Linked DNA regions of Arabidopsis thaliana. The protein of the gene in region 4 purifies or fractionates together with the protein of the main gene of each other region. This does not show direct contact. Each region holds a gene or a part of one and is shown on either strand. Other genes may lie near its edges. The genes, in order: AT3G23325, AT4G21660, AT1G11520 and emb2444.

The links.
Region 1: the proteins of emb2444 (region 4) and AT3G23325 fractionate together in Arabidopsis thaliana (co-fractionation; one large-scale study listed by BioGRID). This does not show direct contact.
Region 2: the proteins of emb2444 (region 4) and AT4G21660 fractionate together in Arabidopsis thaliana (co-fractionation; one large-scale study listed by BioGRID). This does not show direct contact.
Region 3: the proteins of emb2444 (region 4) and AT1G11520 fractionate together in Arabidopsis thaliana (co-fractionation; one large-scale study listed by BioGRID). This does not show direct contact.

The regions. Positions count from the first base shown.
Region 1 is NC_003074.8:8,343,873-8,347,679, reverse strand, and holds AT3G23325 (Splicing factor 3B subunit 5/RDS3 complex subunit 10), read right to left. Parts: upstream 1,911-3,807; 5' UTR 1,873-1,910; coding exon 1,867-1,872; intron 1,683-1,866; coding exon 1,597-1,682; intron 1,513-1,596; coding exon 1,389-1,512; intron 1,314-1,388; exon of another isoform or gene 1,024-1,313; intron 872-1,023; coding exon 824-871; 3' UTR 538-823; downstream 1-537. Other genes in the region: AT3G23330 (Tetratricopeptide repeat (TPR)-like superfamily protein), read right to left, coding at 1-480; AT3G23320 (Polynucleotidyl transferase, ribonuclease H-like superfamily protein), read right to left, coding at 2,476-3,051.
Region 2 is NC_003075.7:11,505,301-11,511,500, forward strand, and holds AT4G21660 (proline-rich spliceosome-associated (PSP) family protein), read right to left. Parts: upstream 4,608-6,200; 5' UTR 4,473-4,607; coding exon 4,251-4,472; intron 4,131-4,250; coding exon 3,879-4,130; intron 3,794-3,878; coding exon 3,731-3,793; intron 3,635-3,730; coding exon 3,527-3,634; intron 3,451-3,526; coding exon of another isoform or gene 3,409-3,450; intron 3,369-3,408; coding exon 3,009-3,368; intron 2,926-3,008; coding exon 2,833-2,925; intron 2,742-2,832; coding exon 2,655-2,741; intron 2,553-2,654; coding exon 2,451-2,552; intron 2,374-2,450; coding exon 2,254-2,373; intron 2,156-2,253; coding exon 2,093-2,155; intron 1,934-2,092; coding exon 1,791-1,933; intron 1,688-1,790; coding exon 1,606-1,687; intron 1,489-1,605; coding exon 1,384-1,488; intron 1,295-1,383; coding exon 1,133-1,294; intron 1,034-1,132; coding exon 959-1,033; 3' UTR 523-958; downstream 1-522.
Region 3 is NC_003070.9:3,871,117-3,874,140, reverse strand, and holds AT1G11520 (pliceosome associated protein-like protein), read right to left. Parts: upstream 1,113-3,024; coding exon 522-1,112; downstream 1-521. Other genes in the region: AT1G11510 (DNA-binding storekeeper protein-related transcriptional regulator), read left to right, coding at 1,305-2,363; AT1G11500 (transmembrane protein, putative (DUF1218)), read right to left, coding at 2,571-2,799, 2,897-3,024.
Region 4 is NC_003071.7:8,030,404-8,035,407, forward strand, and holds emb2444 (RNA-binding (RRM/RBD/RNP motifs) family protein), read right to left. Parts: upstream 3,217-5,004; 5' UTR 3,115-3,216; coding exon 3,010-3,114; intron 2,913-3,009; coding exon 2,864-2,912; intron 2,774-2,863; coding exon 2,685-2,773; intron 2,596-2,684; coding exon 2,539-2,595; intron 2,405-2,538; coding exon 2,342-2,404; intron 2,253-2,341; coding exon 2,187-2,252; intron 2,049-2,186; coding exon 1,962-2,048; intron 1,821-1,961; coding exon 1,727-1,820; intron 1,633-1,726; coding exon 1,151-1,632; 3' UTR 557-1,150; downstream 1-556. Other genes in the region: AT2G18520 (Tetratricopeptide repeat (TPR)-like superfamily protein), read right to left, coding at 3,633-4,889.

The DNA.
Region 1 (3,807 bases), on a different chromosome or scaffold from region 4:
AATCTTAGAACCCATACCAAGAAGCTTAGCATACATATTCATAAGCGCATTACCAGTATACAAATCACAATCCATACCAAGCCTAACAATAAACCCATGAACAGACTCACCAAATCTCAAATCCATCATCATCGTACACGATTTCAAAACAGAAGGAAACACATTGTGATCTGGGCATCTCCCAGAAGCTCGCATTTCCACAAACGAAGCTAACGCCTTGGAGAATAGAGACTGGTCGGTGAAGCATCTGATTACTGACTTCCATGCTAGAACAGGAGGAGACTTAAGGGTTTTGAAAAGAAGCAAAGCTTCGTGCAAAAGTTTAAGGTTTGTGTAGATTGAGATTACGATTGAAGCTGATGTATGAGAGAGTGATTGAGTTCTGATGAATTGTGCGTGAAGCTGCTTCGCTTGAGATTTGGATTTGATTCGAGTTGGATTCTTAATCAGGGTTTTGATTAGGGCTTTTGATGAACTCATCTTTGTCTCCTTCTCAGAGATTCACCATTAGCAAACATAAAGGTTTGATTTTTATTTTCGTCATTCATTTAAATACTCCAACTTTTAACCTCTTTTTTTTATGACTTGTTCAATTCAATTCTTTTGCAATAGTTGTTCGAGTAGCAAAAAGACTTTGAGTTTGACAATTGTATCAAGACTATAACAAAGTACAAATGTTTAGATCATGATCAACAACTGCATTATGAACTAGAAACAAGAAGAAGCCTTTTCGGCAATTACATTGGTGGAGCAGTTAAAGAAGATTGCACACAAGCTTCTAAGAAGTAGAATGTTTTTTTTAATTTCAAATGCACACAAGCTCTTACTCGTCTTCTCTTTCTGGAGGAAGGCCGCAAGGTAAGAGCATTTTCTGCAAAAAAAAAATCAAAGAAGTTTGGAGTTAGTAAAAGCTATTAGCAAAAATGCAAAGTCATTGACTCTTGAGTGTAGAAGAACCAGAAGATAACAGTTTGAAACAACCCTCAAGATTGGTAGTTTCCTGCTAACTTACGATATGATACAATCTGTTTTTGACAAATACAGGGTAAGGGTTAAAAGAGTTTCATGCTGCTCCCCTTTCCGGTTGCAGAGGCCAAGTAAATATCTTTGAGGAAGTTCCATTCTCCATTCTTAAGGGTAAGGAGTTGTTGCTGATATCAGAAGGAGGAATGTTGAAAAACTAGAATTATAGCAGGTTTTCTTGAGGCCCACAAGTTCCTTGAAGAGAAAGATATTTACTGGCTTCTCCAAGCTAAAGAGGGGAGCAGCAGGAACACTTTACCCTGTTTGAAACAACCCTAATTGTTCCTCTCCCTTAAGACACTAACACATTAACATTCTCAATATGATTCCTTGACATGATGCAAGAAGAAAGATAGTAAACAAACCTGCATGAAGTTGTAACGTTCTCGACCAATAGATTCGTTCTCAGCTATTGCAAAGTAAGAAAGCATCGGGTAGTGACCAATGTATGAAGCATAACTATCACGCTGAATGTTCACAGTCCATTCACTAACACAAAAACATTCAAAATTTTCAATAAGTTCACAATTTTGGAATCCTGAAAAATCCAAACAAAAAGTGAAAAATACTTACAATCTGCTCAAATCTGCATGACCTGTACCAACATACTTAGCTTGAAGATGCTCAAGCTGAGAATTTATGTTAAACCTATCACTTGCCTGCACAAAAACAAAAAAGTGAGATTACATAACTATCTGCTGCTTAAAAACCTAACCTTTACAAGAACTAAAGCAAATTGTTCCCAGATTTCAGCTACGCTTAGCTTAATCGTCAAGAAATTGTATAAAATTAGAGATAAGAACAAAAAAAAGTAACTAGGGTTTCGAATCGAGAGAGACAAACCTGCATCTTTCAGACTTCAGCGAGTTCGCAAGAAGAAGAATACAACTTCTGCTTCACTTTAATTAGGTTTATATATGTTTCACTGAGAAATTGATTGGGCTTTGAGAATGGGTCTGGCCCAAATCCATTACTAATAAATTTTTAATACGTGGCTATTATTATGAGAACCGGTACAAAAGAAAACCAAACCAGAACCGGACATTTCAATCAAACCAAATCATTAACTTTTAAATTTGGGATAAAAAAAACGTGAACTTCCGAAATGCCGCTAAAATTATAAAATTTCGTCTGACTTTTGATAAAATGATTAAGTTTCGTTGACTTTACTATTTTGGGCATGTCGTTAAATTTCCGTTAACAACAAAATAACGGAGTTAACTTTTCGTTAACATTTTCCGTTAGAAGCGAAACGACGTCGTTTCAAAATAAAAATATATTAAAATTTGCGCCAAGAATGGATTGAACTCGTGAACCTCCTAAATTATCACAAGCGCTCAACCAATATGCTATGATAACATTTCGATATTAATGAAAACTGATATATATATATATACGCAAAACTAATTAAAAACCGAACTATTTTTTTTTTTTTTCCTTCCAATAACTTTATTAATTCACGTGTTCAGCATCTTTGTTTACAAACGACATTAGAAATCTAGGACAAAAATGATATAGAGTATGATTTATATGATTAGCTACTGCTTTTTTCGCCAGAACATCAACACAAACGTTTTGTTCCCGGTGTCGAAATGTGAACTTCACAGTGGTGAAAGCTTTGCTCCATTGTTGAATGAATTCCAAATAGTATCGAAGTCGTGGATTAGTTTCTTTGTTTCGAATAAGGCGATTAACTGTGATGTTGTCGCCTTCAAATTCTACTCTCCTATATCCCAAATCCCAAGCGCATTGTATTGCCCATATGAGGGCAGTGCATTCAGCTTCCTTTATTGTTTGTCGACCCTGAAATTTCCCGCAGCCGCAGTCCAAACAGGTTCCTTGTGAGTTTCGAATAATCCATCTGAGGCCTGAGTCTTGTCTTCCCGCATGGTTAGAGACATCATAATTGCATTTGACCCATTCTGCTCCTGGTTTTTGCCATTTGTCCGTTCTTGAGGACTTGGTTTGGCCCCCTTTGACGTTGTCATCATTTTTATGCTTAACATCCAGCCATTCTTTCGTGTCCATTATCGCTTGGTTTATCACATCAGCGACAGCGATTGCTTTTTTGTTGAAGACTAAATCATTCCGGCTCTTCCAAATCCTCCATATTAACCAAAATGGCAAATAAAAATATTAAAAATGATGTAAATTATAAAAATGCACCTACCAAATAAAAACCGAACTATAAAAACAATAACTAAACATGTAAAAATATTAAATACACCTACCATTAATATATATTCTCAAATAACAATGTAAATTTTTTTATTAAACGTATTGAATTAAAAAAAAATTCTCTTAAATTATATAAAAATCAAACTTGTGAAATATAACACCTATAAATATATTACCAAAAAATAACTTTTTATATACTTTCCATCTAATTATGAATAAAAAAATTGATTTGAAGACGGAATAATGATCTTATATTTTTCTTTTATTAAATATTTATCAAATTAATTTATAAAATATATGTTTTATTATAAATAAAATTATATATAAAGTGAAGTTGAATGAAATTCTATGTGCATGTATAGATTAATCCTATATTCATATGAGAAGGATTGTGTAAATTTTAGGTAATTTTCTATATTATTGATTTATTTTAGTTGGTTATTTTTAATTAGTTACGTATATATATATATATATGTATATGTTTACTATACTTCTAAAAAGTTAACGTGGCTCAATGGTTTTAGTCCTTCAATAGCACCTAAAAGGTCACCAGTTCAACTCTACTTGGTGTTTGTTTTTTGTTTTTTTCTTTAATTTCAAAACGAC
Region 2 (6,200 bases), on a different chromosome or scaffold from region 4:
TCTTATGTTTATATTAATCTTAGATTTCATTTGTCTAGCAAAGTTAAACTTTTAACTACGTGTTAAAAAAATTCTGACATCGCTTGTAGGCTGAATAACCATTCATATTTGGAGAGACTTCTTGTTGTTTCTAAATGTGTCTACCATGTAGAGGCCTATGTATAATGATTAATAAGCGAGATTTGAAAAGAAGATAAATAGATAATGTTGAAAGAAAGGTGAAGAAAGGCGATTTAGGAACCCTACGACTCTACGAGTCATCATGCTCATGATAATGTTGAAAGAAAGGTGAAGAATGGTGGTAGCCCGGTAGGACAATGAGTGGCATAATTGGCCATTTGTCGCTGTTTCATTACTCTCCCGGAATGAGGTGTGGTCGAATCATTTGTCGCCTAATATTGGAAAAGTAATAGAATACATCATTGAAAAAATCCACAGTATGTTAAGTTTTTTTCATCACATGCAGGGATTGAACAACCCAAGGATCATGCCTATGAATTAGTTCACACTATGCATATGACAGTAACATATGAACATAATTTGGTTTCAGGAGCGAATGTCGTGAAAATGTACATATTTTTGCCTCGCTTAAAGATAACAAGGTGCACTGAAATAGATCACATCGACGGTTTATTCTGTAGACCGAATGATCAATCTTTTAAAAACCATAAACGCTGAAAGTACTCGGACAATTTGAAAAACAAGACGTCGCTTACAAAACAAAGCCTTTTTTCCCCACTTTTTTTGTTCCAAGTCTCAGGCTTTGAATTTGTTCAAATTCCAAAAACAAAGTTTTACTTAAGCCTTCAGATAACAACATAGTATAGAATCTCATAAGCATTAAGACTAAAACTCAAGATCTCTGACTCAAAGACTAATAACTCTGGAACAAGAATCTCTCCCTATCTCTCTCATGTCCAGAATCCAGAATCCTTTTCCGTGTCTCTTCCAGAACACCTCAGAATTTGAAATCTTTCTTCTTCTTCCCTTCCTTGTCATGCATTTTCCTCTTCCTACTATTCTGCTGCACATGCTGTTAAACATTCCACCAAGTAAACGTTTGATTATTCATCCGCATTCATATCAATAGTGTTGAAAAAAATAGAGATATAAATATAAAGAAAGTCATTACCTCGACGACCATGTCACTCAAGTCCACTGGCTTATTGCGCAATTTCTCCTCTTCTCTTGCCTCCTCATACTTGGCAGGTAAAACATTTTCCATAGCATCCAGCTCTTCTGGCTGTAAGCTGACATCCACTCTGTCTGTCTTCTGCCCTCTCAGCAAATCAACCTGCTCAATTTGACACAATTGCATACGTTAGCCCACTTGTCATCAAGCAAAACAACAAATCTCTGAGCATGTAACAACAGACTGCTTACCCTTTTGGCTCCCGTCTTTTCTTGAGTACCAGTCTTAATAACGTATGTGTGTGAGGTTCCCAGCAATGTTCCAGGAGCAACACTCTCTCCCTTTTCCTCGAGTACCTTCACAAGTCAAAAAAAAAAAGGCATTAACGACCAGAAACAGTGAATTATTGGTTTATATCAAACTAATAGAAAAGCCTACAAGGCGTGTAAGATCATCAAAATTAGGTTTCAAACCTGGTATAGAGCCCTATCAGGTTCCTTTCTCTGATCCTTACGAAGTTCAATTGCATCCGGTGTCTCTATACCAGTAGGAGTGCTGAAAGAAGGGGAAAATCACAAATCAGCTTTATACTTAGATTATACTGATAAGGAAACAAATAAATAGTATACACCTCATAAATGCATAATGATAACAATACCTTGACAGTGTATCAACAGATTCAGTGCCGTCTTCTAGTTCCTCTTCATCCATCTCCTCTTCTTGTTCCTCTTCTTCCTCCTCCTCTTCTTCTTCCTCTTCCTCTAAATCACCCCAGTGCTTGCTCTTATCAATTGGCTCCTCCTAAGATAATGATAAAATACAACCGTCATACTCTATCACCAAATTGTATGATCTCTAAATATTCAATAGGACGCTTTTACTTTGTATTTTGTGGTATCTACCTCGTAGCACAATATGCAATTACTAAGGAGAATAACAGAGAGAGATGAAAACAGTTACCTCGTAGTTAGGCTGATCTTGTTGCTGGACACCAAAAACATCTCCATACAATGGACGCCCATACTATGTAACACAAACGATAAGAACGGGAAAAAAATAAAAGTTAGTAGATGGCATAGAAATAATAAAAAAGAAGAATGTAGATAAAAAAAAATGCTTACTTCGTCAACTGGAGGTTTCCCCCAGCCGCCAGCATGAAAACCAAAGCTAGCTCCAATTGGAATAGGAGCATTCAAACCAGGAATTTTCAGATGTGGGTAAGAAGGAGGCGGACCATATCTCTGTCAAAGAAGAGATTAAAGGTGAACAACTCGATTCCAATCAGAATAATTAAAAAGATAAGTCACAATAAACTCACCTGCATGTTAATCAGCCATGGGGGAGGAGCGCCTTCAGGCATACCAAGAGCTTCTTTTAAGTCGTTTGACAAAAACCCTGGTTTCGTTTCCCTCAGTTTAACCTATTTCCCAAATGATAGTAATTAGATTTTAGGTAAACAAACCAATGAAACCAAGCAATGTAATTATAGATAAAGCTGAAAAAACATGTCACAAGGAATTACCTCAAATTCTTTCCCTTCAAAATACAAATCGCCTAGAGCTGACAGCTTAGGCTTTGTTTGGTATTTGAAAAATGCATCATGAAGTACCTGAGAAAGGAAAGAATAGCTTCACTTGTCAGTTATAGAACAGATATCAGCAAATACTCATCACAAAACAAAGATTAAAAAAAATAGAAACCTGGTAGTCAATGTCCATCTTTCCCATTTTTGGTTGCATTCTCTCCCGTTGCTTTTGCTTCAATTTCTTACCATCTTCTTTCTCAATGTAAGCCTACATAAGAACCACACAAGAATTAGCTGACAGTAGAAGCATTTAGCGACTTGCACCTTATATTGATAGAGAATAACTTTTACCTGTCTAATCTTCTCAATTCCGGTTGCAGCAATGAAATCAGGAAGATGAAATGGCTGCTTCTCTATCCCACGCTTTCCCTGCAAAAATGAAACCCCGCTGAGATGCCACCAACTTATAAAAAGAAAGAAAAAGCAGTATAAAAGTACTACAAAAACAGATGCATCTAAAAGCAAGATCACTATCATGCATACGAAAACAAAATACAGTTTCAGAAAGGGAATATCCCAAACTGATTCATTAAACAGTTTACTCCAAAACCTAAGCACCACAGATTTCATATATAGACAGAAAAAAAAAATTAAGAGTCCTCTCCGGTTACACCTACAAGTCCAGGCTCCATGGTTATCACAGATGTTCTCCTGCAAGAAGCATATATAGGTATAAGGAAACTTAATTGACATGGTTATCACAGACGTTTCTATCCCTCTTGATATAATTCCCCTATGTACCAGTACCACACCCACAAATCACAGAAACATATAGTTAACTACAGTACATTACTAGAATTATCACAAACCTGCAAATATTTTCTCTTCTGCGACCAATGTCTTGGAACAGGAACTGTATTCCGGTACGACTTCAAAAACACTAACAGCTTTGGATCTGCTGAAGTCGCGTCCCAGACCTGAAAATTGTAAAACAGAACTTATGAATATACAATAGATATCTACACAACGAGATAAACCTTGGTACTATGAACACAATAGAGAAGCATCCATACCTCAACAACATCAGGCCTAGCGGAAACCTGCTTCAGCTCAGCAATCTTCATTCTCCGTTGAAGCTGAGGAAACAGAAATTCAGAATATTCAGAATCTAAAGAATGCAATAAAACAAATTGAGAGGTAATAATAAGGTTTGAGCTATACCTTTTTCTTCTTATTAGAGATGCCTTTCTCTTTGTTCTGATTATCCTGCTCGTCGTCGTCTGAATCAGAATCAGAGTTAACCTTCTTTTTGACATCTTCTTTCTCCTCAGACTCATCTTTCGTACCGTCTTCTTCAGAGGCAAGAGGTTCGCGGAAGTTGAACTTCTCGAAGATTTCCTTAAACTCATCGTTAAAACCATCTTCAAATTCAGCTTGCTCTGGAACATACTCTATCACAATCTGCTCACAAACCTATCAAAGAGAAACATATACCAAAAATCATCAGCAAACGATAAACAATCACAAACCCTAAGAAAAACCCTAGAACACCTCTCCATGAATCGAGTACGAGAAGATGAGCACAAAGTTAACCTGTGGCTGGGGATCTGTATTCTCTTTGGATTCAGAAGCAGCAGAAACGTCCGATGCATCTACATCGGCTTGGGATGCTTTGTTGTTCTTCTTCTGCTTCCGTCTGCGGCGGCGACGGTCAATCTCACGAGATTTCTTAGAGGAAGCGGAGGTGTTTCCGTTGGAGACATCACCGTTAGAAACGACGCTATGAACGAGTGCGACGGTTGAATCGGCGGTCATATTCGGTGTTCTCTCTGAATCGGTGATGTGAAAAGAGAGATTGAGAGGAGAAGGAAGAACGACGGAAATCGAGGATATACGTATATGAACAAGAGTCGGTTTGCTGAAATTCTCTCTGATTCTATTTCCGGTTTGGCATAAGGCCCATATAAGTAGAAGACGAATATATCTGCCAATAGGCCCAACACTTTATATTTTTCTTCGAGTGTAAGAATTGTTTTGTAGAAGACCATCTACTAGTAACTAATAGAAAATTTCAAAGGAAATGTATGGAACAATATTCAAACACTACTATAAATGTTGGCACGAGTTAACTCTACATTATTCGTAAAAATGTTCTATTGAACTTTTAAAATTATAAAATTACAGTTTACACAATGTCTTGAAATTTTGAAGAAAGTTATAAGTATCAAAATTGTATATATGTGGGTATTTGAGATTTAAATAAAATTCTCTGACTAACAACAAAACTTTTAATAAAATTTAAATGTTTTAGTTTATTATTCGTAAAAATTTAGTTTTTACATGAATTGAGGTAATTTTTATTCACTTTGAGATTTTATTAATGTGAGCACGACTCCCGGTGTATGTTATCGGTTGTTTATTATGCAATTAGAACAATATACATTGTGCCTTTTTAGTTTCAAAATTGTTTTCATAAGACATTAGGAAAGAACACGGAAAAAAAAGACATTAGGAAAGAATTTTGTAACGGCTTTTGTACGTAACGGTTATTTTTAAACAAGGAAAAAAATACTGTCTATAAAAAAAAATTATCTTTACGTAGTTGTGTATTTTAGAAAACAAAATAAATCATTTTTTATTTACTAAACTATTATTTTATAAGGAAAAGATTGAAAAGAGTAGGGGAAAGATATATGTGAAAAAATATTCATGCTTGGTAGATAAAAAATATTTCACAAATAAAGAGACAAGTATATGTCAAAAATATCATGTCTTTTGAATAAATAATCTTCTAAAAAAAAAGAATTAGATGAACTATAAATATCTTGTGGTATATGAATCCTTGACACTGTAAAAATCAAAACATGAGATCAGAAACACAAGTATAAAAGTACATTACAAGTACGGTATGAATCGAAAAAAAAACAGAATTTGACAGGTTTTGAGCTGATAAAAACTATTTCAGGCTTTTATTAATTTTTAAAAATAGTATTAATTGTTTTTAAAATAAGACATAAATAAAAAAAAGAACGGTTAAAGAAAATGAAGGGGCCCTTCGTGTTTTGTTTTCCCTTAAAAAAACCAAGGACAAAGGCATAATGCCGTATTCACAATCTTGACTCTTCGTTATCTGGATCTAGGGTTTCTCTCGATTTTTAGAACGCCACAAAACCTAATAAACTTTTCCCAGATACACAAACAAACTCATCATCAACCAAGGAAGAAGAAAGAAACTAGGGTTTTTTTTTGTGGATTCATCATCGGTATTTTACAGATCTATATTCAAAGGGAACAAAATCTTAAGGAACAAACACTAAATTTTCATTCTTTCTCTTATTTACCCATTTATCAAAAATCTTCCTTTTGTTTTCCTGATTCTTGCTAAAGAAAAAAACTCGGATCCAATTCATAAACTAGTGTGGACTGGTGATCAATCTATCAATTCTGGCCAAGGGACAACAAAAAGTTTAGATTTTGATGAACCAATTTTGAGATGAGACAATAGACATCCATTGATCTGTAAACTTTAAGAAGGAGAAGGAG
Region 3 (3,024 bases), on a different chromosome or scaffold from region 4:
TCTTATATAAAGTATTTTGGAGATGGTTTCTTCATTAATCAAAAAACCCACACATTTTTTTATAATAAAACTTATCTCTCTAAAATAAGAAACTTAAGTTTAGAAACCATTGATGGGGTTTGAATCCCCTTACAAGTCAGAATAATAAGGGGATTGAATTAACTTACATACTGCAGAAAGACCAAATCCTTCAAAATGTAAATATTAGGTTTACACAATGATGCAATCACCTATTTAAAAATTTACATCATTGGTGGTCTAACATTTTTTTTTTTTTTTAATAAGCATTAAGACTAAAAACTCAAGATCTCTTACTCAAGACTAATAATTCTGGAACATGAATCTCTTTCTATGTCTCATGTCCAGAATCTAAAATCTTTTTTTTTTTGTCTCTTCCATAACGCACCTCAGAAGTTGAAATCTTTCTTTTTCTTCTCTTCCTTGCCATGCATTTTCCTCTTCCTACTATTCTGCTACACATGCTCGACGACCATGTCACTCAAGTCCACTGGCTTATTGCGCTATTTCTCCTCTTCTCTTGCCTCCTCATACTGTAAAACATTTCCCATAGCATCCAGCTCTTCTGGCTGTAAACTGAAATCCACTCTATCTGTCTTTTGCCCTCTCAGCAAATCAACCCTTTTGGTTCCCGTCTTGTCCTGAGTACCAGTCTTAATAACGTATGTGTGTGTAGTTCTCAGCAATGTTCCAGGAGCAACAACACTCTCTCCCTTTTCTTCAAGTACCTGGTATAGAGCCCTATCAGGTTCCTTTCTCTGTTCCTTACGAAGTTCAATTGCATCCGGTGTCTCAATACCAGTAGGAGTGCTTGACAGAGATTTTGACACGTCCATTGCATCTACATCGGCCTGAGATGCTTTGTTCTTCTTCTTCCGCTTCCGTCTGCGGCGGCGACGGTCGATCTCACGAGATTTCTTGGGAAGGACGCTATCAACGTGTGCGACGATTGAATGAGCGGTCATATTCGGGTGTTGTTGTGAAAAGAGAGATCTAACATTTATTTGTAAGAGATAAAATATAGGGAAATAAAATTGGTCAATATAGCTAATTTCCAAATTTTTAAGGAAGGAAATCGGAAATCTAAACGTCATGCAAAAAAAGAGGAAAAACAATAAATAATTTTATACGTTTTCCAATAATTTTTTGATTATTTATTTTTGGAAAACAGAGAGACACTTTGTTCAATATATATAAACCCTAAGAACGAAGTGGTGAAGGCAGCAAAGCAAAAATCTCAATTTCAACCTCTTAAGTCTCTCCAAAGTCCCATAAACCCTAAAACAATGTCGAGACGTTTCAATCCGTTAGAAGATCCGCCGAGTGCTTCTTCAAGCGACGAAGAAGGTAAAGAAATCGCACGAAACTCTTCTTCGGATGATGAAGATGACGTTTCCTCTGAAAACCCATCACCTTTGAAGACGACTCTCGACGCCGTTTCCGATTCCGAATCTGGTTCGGATGAAGAAACCGATTCAGACTCTGAACTCGAGAAGAAGAAAGATCAAGTTGTGACGAATCCTGTGGATGTGAAGAGGGCTAAGAAGGTGAAAACCTCCGAGAAATCTGGGGCTAAACGTTCTCTTGAAGTGGATGAAGCAGCAGTGTCTATGGATGTGAAGAGGGCTAAGAAGGTTTCAGGGGAAGAGGAGAAGAAGAAGAGTGGTGGCGGAGGAGAAGAGACGAAGAAAACTTATTTCCAGCGACTTTGGACTGAAGATGATGAGATTGTGGTTTTACAAGGTCTGATTGATGACAAAAAAGATACAGGGGTAAGTAATACGAATAAGGTTTATGAGTTGGTGAAAAAATCTATTAGTTTTGATGTTAGTAAGAATCAGCTTATGGAAAAGCTTAGGGCTTTAAAGAAGAAGTATGAGAACAATCTTGGTAAAGCCAAGGATGGTGTTGAACCTACTTTCGTCAAACCTCATGATCGCAAGGCTTTTGAATTGTCTAAGTTAGTTTGGGGAGGTATTAGAATGGCTCTTGCATCTGGTATGAAATCTAATGAGAAGTCGAAGAAGAGTAGTAAGTTTGAGTCTGTGAAGCATGAACTTGATTCTTCTTTGCCCAACAGTAAAAACAACTGTGAAGATGAGGTGATGGATGAAGGAGAAGTCTCTTTTACAAAGTCTTCTCTTGTTAGATCGATAGTGGGTCTTGGCATGGATGAACTTACTGCTCAACAAGGATTGAGTAAGCTTGCCTCAAAGGATATGAAGAGATTTTACGAGCAGTGGAAAGCGATGCAGGCTAGGGAATTTGAGTTCTTTTTGCAGAAGCATGGTTTTCTTTTTGAAGTGCTATCAAAGATATCTGAAGCATTTGGATCAAACGCTTAGATATATTTATGGTTTTTGTTTTTTTGGTTCTGCCTCTTTTGTTTAGAACTCTTGGCTTTTTTATATTATATTTTAGTTTTCTATTGATTCTTGAAAGAGTTTATTTTGGAATATTGCGGATTTATCAAAATGGAAGGAAGCTTTTTTGAAGCAATTTAAGTTTATTTACAGATGAAACATTTTGTGTATCTTGATGAAGAAGACGTGTTATGCGCGGCTTCTATTTGCTAGATTTTCTTGTTGCGCATTCTCTTTGTCTTCTTTTTTAGCAGCAATTGCTGAAACATAATATGCTGAAGTCACCACTCCATGTCCTAGACAAAATATGCCTCCAATAAGAAAAAACCAACGATGTGGCAAGCTGCAGAGTCGATTCGTTCTCGAGTTGGCTAATGTTCCTATCATTAGCGTTGAGTAGCTGACAACAAAAAAGATCCTAAGACAAACAAAGGTATGTCAAAAACAAAAACAGCTGACATAATTCAAATTTGTCTTTTGAATGAAATCCAAAAACCTATTATCTTTTCCATTACCAGGAGAGAACAAGGAAAGCCACAGCGAGTATCTTGTTCGCCGTTGCTCTTTTGAAATCTTGCTTAGAGCGAATGTAAGTGCAGCCTCCAAGCACATTAGCTAGGACATGGACAATAAACAGAAGCAC
Region 4 (5,004 bases):
TACTAAATGGAGCAAAATATATTGAATCGGATTTTATTTGGAATATGCTACCATAATGATTATACCAGTAATTAATATTTTCTATAAATTCGTTAATAACAATATTTTCTGTGGAAAAATCACGGAATGGAATATTTGTGAGTTAGTAATTGTAATCACATTAAATATTTGGTTGTTTGGAAAGATTTGCTGCGAAAATTATGGAAATAGATTTGTACATTCGTTTGTTAATTTATTTTATTTTAAAAAGTAAAATCTTAAATATTAATACCAATGGCAGCTACTGTAAATAAATTCCAACTCCACGATTTATTTCACAAAGTGACTACAAAAATGTATACGTAGATAGTTTGAACCAACCCAAGAAATGTAGTAGAACTGTGGGTTTCACAATTTACACCAATACAAGATGGCTTATTGGCTTAGATAGGAACAGATGTTCACTTTTACGATATCTAAATGCTTAGTAGATGACACTTGGGCGGTCGATGTGGACTATTTCGAGTCAGCAAACGAAGTGACAAATGATTGAAATCGATAAGAGACAAAAAGTTTAATTAAAATTGAATATTTGTCCTTTACTTTTCTCAGACAACAAAACATATACAGAGATGCGTCTCTCTCTATCTTCAGTGTTTTTAGGGTTTTTAAGACTGAAGCTGAATTCACAAGATGAAATGGTCAGAGAGACTATTGAAGTTTGGAGAATGGGTCCATAACTTGAAAAACAAGCCACCTCTGTTCCATCACTGATTACTCCTCTGTCTTTTTCTTGTTTAGAGTAAAAAGCAACCTCAAAGGTCAGAAGTAAAATTATTGAGATTTTACAGCACAGTTTTGGTAAATATTAAAGCACACGGCATCAGAGATTCTGCAACACAAACAAGAAATAACATCACTAAAAACCAGACACACATTGGCACTAATTTCTACGCTCTCTCTCTCTCTAAACCGAAGATAAGAGATTCTCTGCAGACAAGACAATATAGAATATTAATTGTGATCTCTCTCTCACCCTCTCTCTTTCTCTTTCTCTCTCTCCCTATTAGGTTTCATTGAATCTAAAACGGAAAATCCTCGGGATTACTTGCCAGTAAAGAAAGGGTTTACATATAGTTGAATTGGTCCGAAACTGAGGCGATGATTATTATCAACCTTGGTGTGGTGGTGGTGGAGGCATAGACATGTGATGGTGTTGGTATGGTGGTTGTTGTTGTTGTGGTGGTCCACCTTGCTGCTGCATGTGTTGCGGTGGCCATCCTCCATGTTGGTGCATTCCCATGGCTTGAGGTGGTGGCGGCGGCCTCGGACCACCGAAACCTTGTTGGTGATTTAGAAACTGAGGAGGTGGTGGCGGAGGCATACCCTGAGGTGGACGGAATTGCATGGGTGGTGGGACCATGCTGTGTTGTTGTGGCTGAGATGGCCAGGATGGTGGCTGAGTTTGATATACTTGTGGAGGAGGTGGTGGTGGTTGACGGGGAGCGGGAATCGGGACAGGTTGCATGCTGCCGTTAGCAAACGGACGTGGTAGACCATTAACTTGAGGAGCACTGGATGGAGGGCCCATTGCGAATAGCGTATGGGGTCTGCTTTTCTGGGCAGTTGGATTTGTGGCTGCCAAAAGCCTCTCTGTAATTCACAACAGTAATGTGTTATTGATCCAATGGTGGAGAGAAACTGAATCCATAAGTTAAGAAAAGAGAAAGAGTATGTAGAGCCTAACCTGCTGGAGTACCATGGCGCTCTCCTTTGGTGTCTTTCTTGTATGCGTAAGAGACTGTGATTTGACGATTACTGAGATATTGTCCAGTCATTGACTGCAATAGTCAGACAAAGATCAGAGGAATATACTACCATTGGATTAGGTAATCGGAGAAGTTAAATGTGTGAAATATATTGGGCTCCTTTTCGTAAGCAAGTTCATAGAACTGAGAGTTATGAAAGAAGCAGATAATTACCTCAATAGCAGCATCAGATGCTTCAAAGGAGTCATAGCTGATGAAACCAAAACCTCGTGAGTTTCCAGTATCGGGATCTCTCATTATCTGAAATGAAAAGTTTCTAACATTTATTCTCCACAGTGGAATACCGATGAATCCTAATTTACTATCGAATCGGTGACAGGAGACAGATAAAGAGATCAAGAATCATGAACTACAATCTAATGAAATAAAAAATACTACCTTAGGATTAGAAGCAATCACACCAAATGCACTGAAAGTATCATACAAGAGCTTCTCATCCACATCCTATAAAAGAAAACAAAACCTGGTCAGCTAAGAGATTAAATGACCTTTGTAGAGTATCAAAATCAGAGTCTACCACAAAAGATACTTACAGGGTCAAGGTTTCCAATGAAAAGGTTAGCACCAACATCCAGGCTCTTCTTATCTTGAGATGCCTAATACAAATTTAACCAGCAAACAAAATGTTAGCAAACTCATAGAAGATAGATTAAACAAGTCTCAGCATCAAAACTCACAAAACCCATCCGCTCGATACTAAACAATGTAAGTTACAGAAACAATTCGATACCTTGTTAACACGTATAGGCTTCCCGTGGAGCTTAATCATGTTAAGAACCTTAATCGCCTGCACAGAAACATCGAAATCTCTTCAACATTGTACACAAAAAAAAGTCTATTAACTTCTCACAGTAAGTGAAAAAGAGCAACACTTACATAATCAGCATCTTCCTCACTACGATATTCAATGAATCCATAGTTCTGATGAAGATTTGTCACTCTATCTTTCGGTACATAGACATTAACTGATACAGGCCAAGAACAATATCATTGTTCCACTAATCAAAAGCCATTAGCTATTGAAGAAACTTAAGGAGATATAGATATGAACTTACCAACAGGTCCAGCTTGAACGAACAATTCCCAAAGCAATTCTTCAGAAAGCTGAGATTCAAACAGGAAATTTAAATCAATTTCACCAACTCACAGAGGAAGATGAGAAAATCCAGAATCATTTCACGAAACCTAAAAGTTAAAAAACCTGAGCATCGAGACCACCGACGTAAACAGTGGCGTCTTGGTTCCTCTCAGCGGAGTGTTGGCCGAGAAGATTAGCTCCAACACCAGGAGCGATTCGAGTCGTCATTTTCTTCTTCTTCTTCTTCTCCTTGTTTCGTTACTCCGTCGCCGATTAAGAGAAATCTGAGATTTTCAATTTCGTCACTTCTGGCGATTTTTCTAGAAGTTAGAACGGACGGTGAAGAAAGAGGGGTTTATTTAGAGTGGTGCCGTCTCTAATGGGCCTATAAGCCCATTAAGCTCTTTTATATCCATTAAGATATTTAGCCTATTTAGAGTCTAGAGATTTTGAGTTTTTTTTACTAATCATTTTGGGAATTGGTTTTACAAATAACTGTAAACCTAAATTGTTAAACGATATGAAATTTTCACAATTCAGACTATAGTTCAGATGATCTGGGGGAAAAGAACAAAAAAATACGGTTAACTTTCAACGCAAGCGTAGTAATTGGCTCAAAGCATAGACAAGTAAATTGGGAATCGTTTGTCTTCTACACGCTAGATCACAGTTTCCACAAGCCATAATATTAGCTGAAGCAAGCAAGCACAAACAAAAATAAGATCTTCTAAGCAACTTCTTGAGCTTTATACATCATCCTCTCTTTCTTGATCTAACACTTCTCTAGTTTGAGAAGAAGATGAAACAGCAGCTGCATTACCCTTTGAATACAATCCCAGCTTCTCCTCTAGTTTCTTCCACTCGGTCACCAAACGCGGAGGGAATTTCTTCTTCACGATCCTGGCCACTCCTCTTGCATCTTCCATTCTGTTATTCTTCACCAATCCTTCAGTCAAATGCTTACAAGTTTTGAAATCCGGAATCTTGTGCACTATCGCGCTCTTCTTAAACACCGTTAAACCTTGATCATACAACCCGTTTATACACAGATGAAATATCAATGTCCTGAACGTCGCTGCGTTTGGTTGCTCAAGCCCTTCATACACTTTCTTGGCTTCACTCATCATTCCTTTCACGCAGTACGCAGTCATAAGATAGTTATAGCTAACAGTATCAGGTTTCAATCCTACACTACTCATTTCTTCCATCAATTCCTTAACTCTCTCGGGACTTTCCTTCGCAGCATTCATAAGTCTAACATTATAAACTGTGTTATCCAAGTCACAACCTTTGTTCACCATCTCAATCCACAAGCTCTCCGCTTCATCGACTAAACCATTCTTATACAAAGATCCTAAAATGGTAGTGAAAGCAATGATAGTAACTTCCACACCTTTAACCTCCATATCTCTCATAATCTCCATAGCTTTTTCAGGCTTACCAGAGTCACAATACGACTTAATCAACATACCGTAAGAGATTTTATCAGGAGTGATATTATTATACCTCTGAGGAAATTCGTCGAACAGTTGGGGGACTCTTTCAAACAAATCAGAATGAAGACAAGCAGCGAGTAAGGCATTGAAGGAAACAACGGTTCTGGGTGTGCCAAGCTTATCCATCTCCTCGAACATCTTCATAGCATGATCAAACATTGAAGCTCGTCCATAAGATCTGATAAGTGTAGAGAGAAAAGTCTCTGTTTTGATCTTTGGGTTGTTTTTGTGAGACTCAATTAGAGCTTCTATGTCGGAGAAGCGTTGAGATTTAGCGAGACGTTGGACTGTAAGCTCCATTGCGTAACGAGAGGAGAGTGGAGATGTGGAATTGTTGGAGACGGATTTGTAAATCGCTAAGGCTTTGTCTGGATCTTGTACTTTGCGGAGTTTGGATTTAGCTTTGGACATAGTGATTGCGCCGGGGTAAGCAGTGGTTTGAGAATCTATACCGGTGGCGGTGGAGAAGCGGCGGAGGAAACGGAGATAGAGGCGAGATGACGTCATTGGAAGCGTCGAATCGTCGACCACGCGGGGTAGTGCAAATGTCTTTACTCTTTAGGGTTTAAGAGTTTAGTAGAAGAAATAGGTTTTGCAAAATGATTCCACATTAACACCTTAC